Linked DNA regions of Caenorhabditis elegans. Changing the gene in region 1 together with any one later gene gives a genetic interaction. Each region holds a gene or a part of one and is shown on either strand. Other genes may lie near its edges.

Region 1 (5,827 bases):
TTTTGGTCTTAAAATTAAATTTGAGTTATTCATGTATTTTAAGCTTTATTTTAAGCTTTTTGAAAATTTTTTGGTACTTGTGTATTGTGTCCCCAAATTCAAAAAGTATTCAAAATTTAAAAATCTCATTAATTGCTTTAATAAAATTAAACATGATATCTATAATATTTTGATCGTTTTGTTGAGAAACACGTGGTGCCAAGCTCCCATTACGGTTTGATCTACTAAAAATGCGGGATTTTTTTGCCCACAAAACGTTACGTCAGTACGTTTTTAATCATGTAAAATCAGTTGAGAACGCTGCGTCTTTTCTCCCGCATTTTTTTTAGATCAAGCTTGAATGAGATACTCTGACACCACGTGTAGAAATAGTATTTGCCAGAACCTTATATTTCAAAAATTCAAAAATAATACCCACTTTCATATAAAAAACTTTTCAAACTGTGGGGATAACATACAGAGATACTTCGTTTTTATATGAAATTTTGTGGATTTTCAGTATATTACCAGTTCTTTATCATGGAGGTAAATGTGAGCCATATGTCATTTATTCTTGATCCATCCATCTTTAAAAGCTTCACCTGTTGCAAAGTGTAACTTATCAAATTGAATATTCACATCATGCTCATTCCCGAAACGTACATTTTTATATTTTCCAGTGTTTTTCCACCCCTCTTTCCGCCCTCATTTCTCGTCGTTCTCTCTGACTCACGTCATTCTTCCTTATCAATTCTATCACTAAATATGCCAAAAAGCAAAACTCTTTTCATCTTTTCTACATCTCACCATCTAGCAGTGACTCAGGTAACACCTACTTTTCCGGTATATAAATGTTGAAAGAGTTTAACTTTTGGAGCATGTCACAATCACCACACCCAGTATGTTCACACACCCACGCACCCGAAAACGACTCTTTTGTTGGGGGGGGGGGGGGGGGGGGGGGGGCTTCCGCGTGTTGGACACTAGTGTTTCTTTGTTTCATTTTTTACTTTTTACTACTATTTTGGCGTTTTCTTTCTTTTTTTCCATTTCCTCCTGCCCACGAAACGTTATCAATAATCTCGTGATTGTTTTGAGAACGCGATAATTCTGAAAACTGCATATCTCTAGAGGCTCAACTGATACTGATATAAATACCGACTATAAATCTAGATTGAGTATATATTATTTTTTTGGTTCTAGATTCTTCCAATCATTGTTTTCCTCCTCATTTGTATGTTATGGCAATTCCCGCCTCTCGATTCCTCCAAGCGATTTTTGTATTGCCTCTCCGTCTCCATGTCATACAAAACCGTCGTGGAACGAGATGGACAACGAGAATGTGATTCCCCTTTTTTTGGTTGTAGGTGCGTGGGTGAAAGGACGGGCCGCAGGGGCTACTGCATTTGTAATTCACAAAATTTCGATTCCACACTCTCTTCCTCGTCTTTCTTTTTTCCTTCTCCCCCCCCCCCCCCCTTCTTGCATTTTTTCCTTAGTTTGGTTTTCGTTTCACCGGGTTTCACAGACTTATTCATTGCTCGAAAACTAGAAGAATTTCATAATTATAGAGTACACTTTTGGGTTTTGCAAGTTTGAGCGAATTTCAAGTTTCGCAAAAAAGCTGATCTATCTAGAGCTTACACCTGATAGTTCAAAAATTTTCTTTTTTGTTCTAATAATTTTCAATTAAAAATTGAATAATAACTAACAACATGTGCCACTTGGGGGAAGCAACGATCTCCTTTCGAACATTAAAAAAAATCTTGCCATAACTTGCCCATAACCTAAAAATTTATTTGCAATGAAAGAAAATGTTTCCGCCTTTCTGGTTTTAGGTTAGACTTCCTTCCGGCTTTTCCAATTTCCCAATTTTTTTGCGTCGCCAAATATGACAACCTTCTCCTTTTCCAAGAGCTCCGCCCATTAATCAAAAGGACTAGATATTTCTGAATTTTGAACCAACACTTCTCACGCGTTTATTTATTTTCCCTTTTACCGAAATACTTCTATTAATTTTTTCTGTTGTTGCAGAATCAGGATGGCACTTCACGAGCCACCTTCCAAACTTAATAGGCACTCTCATTCAAATTTATTAAAACCTCCGTCATTAAATAAACCAATACTGACGTTTGCTGACAATGATTGCCTGAAAACGCCAACTATGAATGATATGCTTAAGGTGAGAAGTTACACCTTGAATTGTCTGAAACTAAACCATATTCTTGCAGACACCCACAGTAAATTCACCACGACACACACCGATGAATATTGACGGGACGCCTAAAGTCAATGGATTTTCTGGATTTACTCCTCAAACCGATCAGAAATTCTTTGGCGAGCACGAGCCACTGTTCAACCAAATGCACACAACAACACTAATGCCGGCACCATCATCGTCATACAAGGAGCCAGCTTACAGTAGTGAGCAGCCGTCTAGCTCTTCGGATGAGGCGAAGCCTAAGGAGCTGCTAGGAAGTAATAGTTTTGGAGTACCGCGCATGACGAACGGGAACAGTAAGCAGAAACCAGAAGAGTTGACGTTAAAAGATATTGAGATCAGTTCTACAGGACCGGGTGGTGTAGATTCTCCAGGTTTGTATACAAAAGTTTTGATTTTGAAGCCAACTTTAATGAATTTTCAGGCTTATCTGCTGCCATGTTCCAGTTTTCGCCAATGGTAGAACACTTTTTGCAAAATCTCACTAATAAAGCAGGCCTGCCAGAATTAGTTGTGGACTCTAAAACAGCGGGATTAAACCATCAAGAACCATCCGATTTGATAAAGGTACGAGAGTGTGTGCCCACACTGAAATATATATTAGAGTATTTTTTTAAATTACGAATAACTGAAAATACTGTGTCTAAAAAAAATTAAAATTAAAAAAACACACTTTTTTTTTGCTTTCAGCGTTCATTCTCATAATAACTTATGAATTTATAATTTCAGTCTGTCCAAGTACGGAGGAGCTCGATAGAGGATCAAAAATTCAGTGATGTTCTGCATGTGCCGACACTGCCACGAAAGACAAGTGAACCATCGCATCTTGGGTCTTCTCTTCAAAACGAGCATCCACAATCCAACTCTCGACCGTCTACCGTAATCCCACGAGTACAGAGGACCAACACGTCAGCGAGCCTCACAAGATCTATGGATCATTCATCAATGTCGCCAATTTCTGCGCATGATGACCCGTATTCCAATTCAGCAAGCTATTCTAGTCTCTCGACTCATACGTCATTTTCGTAAGTTGAATAGGTACAAGCTGGAACTTTTAATATTTTACAATTTTTAGAGACAGCGCTAGCTTGGCACATTTCGAGCCAAAAACCGAGCCAATGGATGACTACAGCTACAACTTCTCAGGTAACTTTATCGCAAAATTTCGTACATCAAATATTCAATGATTCAGATAATGACTTCAATTCCTTTGAGTTTTCATCCACTTCTGAAGAGCTAAAGAATATTGGCTGCCAAAAAATGAAGGTATGTATTGCATATATTCATATCTTTAGTACTAGTTTTCAAAGAAAATTGTATTTCAGTCCTCAAAGATGCCTCTCCAAGACAGACCGTACAAGTGTCCACGAGATGGATGTGACAGGAGGTTCTCGAGAAGTGACGAGCTGACGAGACATATTAGGATTCATACAGGCCAAAAGCCATTCCAGGTACTGAGCAACTAGTAATCAAAAATTCAAAAGCTGTCAGAAAGTTGTTGTGTTGTTTTTGTTTTCAAGAAAAACATGTTTATTTTGAGCTTCGTGCAGAAGTAGAAAAAGTATTTGAAAGACTGTGGAAATCCTAAAATTGGTTTTTTTTTTGTTTCAAAATTTTTGGCAAATAAGTTTCAGAAAAATAGCTCTGATGAGTCATTTAAATTTATTTTTTTAAACAAATATGAAAATCTCCATCGGAATATATGGTACTTATACAGATAAGTACTACTGAAAAATACTGGAAAATTCCATAAAGTGGGGTAAAAAAAAATCAAAATTTTGATAAACTGAACTTTCGAAAAAAAATTTTTCAGTTAGCACGTTGTTTGGCTATAGGTTTTTTAGTATTTAGTAAAATTCTAGTTTTATAAATGATAAGTGTAATTAACTAGTAAGACTCTCCAAAAGGACGTACAAATCACGAAAATATGCGCGGGAATTTTAATACGTTTTTTGATTTCAAGCTGATTTTTCTTTCAATAAAACTTAACTTTTTTGTTATAAATTTTGGTTTTAATACTACTTCTTCAAGAAAATGTTGTAACCCTGCTGTAACGGTATAACTTTAACACGAAAATCTCATGTCTAGTTCAAATAAGATTATATCATGCATATCGGAATTTATGGTATTTATGGTAAATGGAATTTTTCAGTGCCGAATTTGTATGCGTGCCTTCTCCCGCTCGGACCATTTGACGACCCACGTGCGCACTCACACTGGCGAAAAACCATTCTCCTGTGACATTTGTGGCCGGAAATTCGCGCGAAGTGATGAACGAAAGCGGCACACGAAAGTTCACAAGACATCGGTAACTACCCGATCTTACCACAAACTTCAATTAATTTGAGTTATTCAGCGTTCAGGGTCATAACAAGCACAAGATGAAGCGTGGTCCTCCAATGTTTGAATAATCTGATGCTGCCAATCGATACAGTTCTCTGTTTTTTCCCCTCTTGACATTTCTAAATCGTGTAACTCTCCTTGTATTCTTCCTCCGACACACCGGTAATGACATTTGCGAACCGAAAGACAATTTTTAAAGTTTTATTTTTCAACGATCTGAGAACCATTGTTTTGTTCAATTTACATATATTTAGCGTTTGAATAGAATTCTACATTACTCCATCCCATCGCTAGTCCTGGAATCTGAAATGGAATCTAACAAGAAACCTAGATCTCATTATCGATAGATTTATTTTTTTGTGTTTTTTTTTCAATATTTTCCGCGTTCAGCTCCACAACCTCGCTCAAATATCATAAAAACCTCTGGCATTTTTTTCATTTTTTTCTCGAAAAATTCTTTGTCTTTTTTATTTCTTGTATTTGTCGTATTAAAAATTAAATTACCTTGATTCCTGCTCCTCTTTATTCTGGTATGACTTTTGCACTCTCCCTAACAGAAAAAACACAATGTTTTAAACTCTTTTGTTAAGTTTTGATTTCGTTTTTTACTTGTTTGCCTTTCGATTTCCTTCCCCATGAAAAACCTCAATTTCTTTTGACTGAAAAGTTTCAAACTCTTAAACCAAGCCGTATACTATATGTTTGTGATTTAAAGAAAAAGTGTACCTTGCATAAACTTTTAGGAATTTGTAGTTTCTTGATGCAATTAAAAATTTTGAAAATAATCCGTGCTCTGATAAGGAAACTTGAAAGCTGGTGAAGAAAAATGATAGTGGGTATTGATTTTTTGATTGCTGCTCTCGTTTTTCATCATGACTGAAACTTCAAATTGCTCCAGCTCCAGTTCTGAATATGAAGAAGAAGAGGAGAGGATTGTCCTTCATGTCTATGATGATGAATCCAAGGAGTTTACGTCACTTACTACTTATCATGGAATGGTATGGATTATATAAAAAGAAAAAATAACTTCAGCTCAATTCAATGATAAATTTTATAATTGGTTTAAATTTGTTTCTTATTTAGCTCTGAAAAGCACTATCCTGATCCATTTCACCAGCACATCCCCTTTTTTCAACTTTTTGGCAACTTCGTGGGCGCGCCGCAGCAATAAGAAAATAGTTAAAAAAAAATATCGCTATAGTTTTTTCCACATTTTGATAGTTTTTTTTTTTGCATTTTTTTCGTAAAAGTAGACTTACACTAGGGTAAATCGGAACTACTCGA
Region 2 (3,460 bases), on another chromosome or scaffold:
CGCAAAAATTCTTCACTAGCGTTCCAATTACTGATTGGGTCCGCAGACTTTTTTGCCATTTTCGATCCCCTATGCTGTGATGTTTGTAAACTCTTCGAAAGTATTTCTATCTCATCGAATATACCAAGAAAATCCTGCATGAGTTTCTTGCCTGCCCCCCCCCCCCCCCCACTGGTTTTTTTTCTGCTCCTCAATATCAGTTGGTACTCTCCCGATGATTTCTGAACATCTTTCCGCCCTCACAAGTGCTTGCACACATAGACCAATATCAATGAAGATTAAAAAAAAATAAATTAATTTCAAAATGTGGAAAGAAAATATTAAATAGCCTTAAAAGATGTATAGCATATGTCTGCTCAGTGTATGTTCCATCACACATGTTCGCATTAGTGCACAACGGGGTGATTTACAAGCTCTGCCTTCAATTAATAAGTATATTTTTCATTCTATTGAATTTGAAGAATTGTGAGCATGTAAGATGAATTCATTTATTGGAAACAAATATGCACTATTTTTAGATTCCGATTAATACAGTGAATACGGACCATCATATATAACTTATTATTTATTTATTCAAATACGTTAGATTCAACATGAATTAAAACATATTGTAGTTTTGTTAAAATATCCGTTTAAATTTAAAAAAAACAGTTTTATGCCAAATATAAAATACAGTCGTCTTTAATCGCATTCTACAGAAGCTATTGAAATTCCAGTAAATTGTTATTGGCTTTAATTTACCTGTGCATTATTTAGGTCATACCATTTTTACGTATTCATTAAATTTACTCATCTTTACCTGTTCGCCCATCATCTTTCTAAAAGTTATTGTTGTTTTCGTAAACCTCCCACCCTTCTCGTCATAGACAAAAAACGTTGCCACATATTTCTTCTCACCTCCTCTCTCGTGGACTCCTCGCCTTCGCAATCGGTCCGATCACTGAGAGATCGTGAGGAAATGAAGAGAAAAGGGAGGGATAAGATAGCTAGAGGGCGTTGTGGGCTCTGGCCAATACGAAGAACTTGGCAAGAGGGATGCTCCCGTGGAAAGAGGGAGTTTATGGGTGGAGTCTTCTCCCGCGGGTGTCTGGATCCTCTCTATTTCTCATAGTCACTAATTCGTTGTGTAGTCGGTGAATCCAATACGCAGAATTGTCTTTCATGGCACAGTATAAAAGCAACGGTGCCCAGTTTTACAGAGCTCACTCATCTCCACGCTTTCTTTCAATTTCTTTTATTTACTCTTCGCTATTTTGCAATAAGTTTTGAACACTTTTTTCAAATACAGCATTTTGATAAGCGAACAGATAACACCAGAGATAAGACTATCACTGAAGTTTCGAAAGTATTCCTTCCTCCATTAATGCCTCACACCATAGATAAGAATTTTTAAAATAAAAATCGTGTTCATGACTCACCCAATGTATTAGTCACGCCTTATTTGATTTTGTTTTTACCACCGCCCACCTGATGAATTGTCCCACTATATATATAATATATATTCTGCTCAATACTATCACCGTTTCCCCACGTGTTCTGTGTTATATTATCAATTTAATTTTTCAGGTACATTAAAAACTAATCAAAATGTGTGACGACGAGGTTGCCGCTCTTGTTGTAGACAATGGATCCGGAATGTGCAAGGCCGGATTCGCCGGAGACGACGCTCCACGCGCCGTGTTCCCATCCATTGTCGGAAGACCACGTCATCAAGGAGTCATGGTCGGTATGGGACAGAAGGACTCGTACGTCGGAGACGAGGCCCAATCCAAGAGAGGTAAATAATTAATACATTCGATGATTAAATTTATGCGTACTATTTCAGGTATCCTTACCCTCAAGTACCCAATTGAGCACGGTATCGTCACCAACTGGGATGATATGGAGAAGATCTGGCATCACACCTTCTACAATGAGCTTCGTGTTGCCCCAGAAGAGCACCCAGTCCTCCTCACTGAAGCCCCACTCAATCCAAAGGCTAACCGTGAAAAGATGACCCAAATCATGTTCGAGACCTTCAACACCCCAGCCATGTATGTCGCCATCCAAGCTGTCCTCTCCCTCTACGCTTCCGGACGTACCACCGGAGTCGTCCTCGACTCTGGAGATGGTGTCACCCACACCGTCCCAATCTACGAAGGATATGCCCTCCCACACGCCATCCTCCGTCTTGACTTGGCTGGACGTGATCTTACTGATTACCTCATGAAGATCCTTACCGAGCGTGGTTACTCTTTCACCACCACCGCTGAGCGTGAAATCGTCCGTGACATCAAGGAGAAGCTCTGCTACGTCGCCCTCGACTTCGAGCAAGAAATGGCCACCGCCGCTTCTTCCTCTTCCCTCGAGAAGTCCTACGAACTTCCTGACGGACAAGTCATCACCGTCGGAAACGAACGTTTCCGTTGCCCAGAGGCTATGTTCCAGCCATCCTTCTTGGGTATGGAGTCCGCCGGAATCCACGAGACTTCTTACAACTCCATCATGAAGTGCGACATTGATATCCGTAAGGACTTGTACGCCAACACTGTTCTTTCCGGAGGAACCACCATGTACCCAGGAATTGCTGATCGTATGCAGAAGGAAATCACCGCTCTTGCCCCATCGTAAGTTTTCTATTTTTGTTTCAGTTAACAAATTAAATTGATTTTTTTTCAGAACCATGAAGATCAAGATCATCGCCCCACCAGAGCGCAAGTACTCCGTCTGGATCGGAGGATCTATCCTCGCTTCCCTCTCCACCTTCCAACAGATGTGGATCTCCAAGCAAGAATACGACGAGTCCGGCCCATCCATCGTTCACCGCAAGTGCTTCTAAATGCACAACTTCGTCAACTTGCACAAACAAGTTCAAAACCATCGTCACCACCAGCTTTCTATTTCTTGTTTGCATATTTTTGTGCAACAAGGAAACATCATGCATATTTCCCAAAAAAATAAAAAACCGCCCCATTTTTGTCCTTATTGTCCTTTCACTCATTTGCGGGTGTGAATAAAAATTTAAAAATTGATATTTCTAAATTGTCTATCAGCACCATTAACAGATTCTTGAAGCACTCGCCGCCAAAAAATGTTACTGTTTGAGAAATACGTTGAAGACAGTTGCGACATGAGAGATATTTGAGTGGGCGCAGAGCGATTCCGAGAATCGCAACGTTCGTGAAGATACTGCTCGTCTCTCGAGAAAGAAAGCACACATTCCATAGTTTCTTCTTATTCCCACGGCGGCGAAAGCATCTGTTTACACAACATGCGGAGGCAAAAACGACGAGAAGCGTCGAACTGATAGGAAGAAAACAGAAAATCTTTGAACAGGAAGGGAAGTGTAGGCGGTTGTATGATAACTTCCGTACGGATAATAGTTTTAAATGTAAACAATGTTAATTAAGAACACAAACTTCTCCATTGATTCAACTCTGCGAGAAAAACGCAAACTTGTTTAAGTTTTAAGTTTTATATG

The links. A genetic interaction does not mean that the proteins touch.
Region 2: of egrh-1 (region 1) and act-1, changing one enhances a phenotype caused by changing the other (phenotypic enhancement), as found in Caenorhabditis elegans (one study listed by BioGRID).

Annotation. Positions count from the first base shown.
Region 1 is NC_003284.9:14,843,924-14,849,750, forward strand, and holds egrh-1 (Early growth response factor homolog 1), read left to right. Parts: upstream 1-2,013; 5' UTR 2,014-2,020; coding exon 2,021-2,161; intron 2,162-2,210; coding exon 2,211-2,574; intron 2,575-2,624; coding exon 2,625-2,767; intron 2,768-2,929; coding exon 2,930-3,225; intron 3,226-3,275; coding exon 3,276-3,346; intron 3,347-3,392; coding exon 3,393-3,466; intron 3,467-3,525; coding exon 3,526-3,651; intron 3,652-4,352; coding exon 4,353-4,508; intron 4,509-4,556; coding exon 4,557-4,571; 3' UTR 4,572-5,294; downstream 5,295-5,827. Other genes in the region: acd-3 (DEgenerin Like), read left to right, coding at 5,416-5,541. UniProt on the Caenorhabditis elegans protein: Sequence-specific DNA-binding transcription factor. Plays a role in oocyte development, acting cell-autonomously in the somatic gonad. Involved in negative regulation of oocyte MAPK activation and inhibits oocyte maturation and ovulation.
Region 2 is NC_003283.11:11,079,486-11,082,945, forward strand, and holds act-1 (Actin-1), read left to right. Parts: upstream 1-1,566; 5' UTR 1,567-1,587; coding exon 1,588-1,777; intron 1,778-1,825; coding exon 1,826-2,606; intron 2,607-2,658; coding exon 2,659-2,818; 3' UTR 2,819-2,930; downstream 2,931-3,460. UniProt on the Caenorhabditis elegans protein: Actins are highly conserved proteins that are involved in various types of cell motility and are ubiquitously expressed in all eukaryotic cells.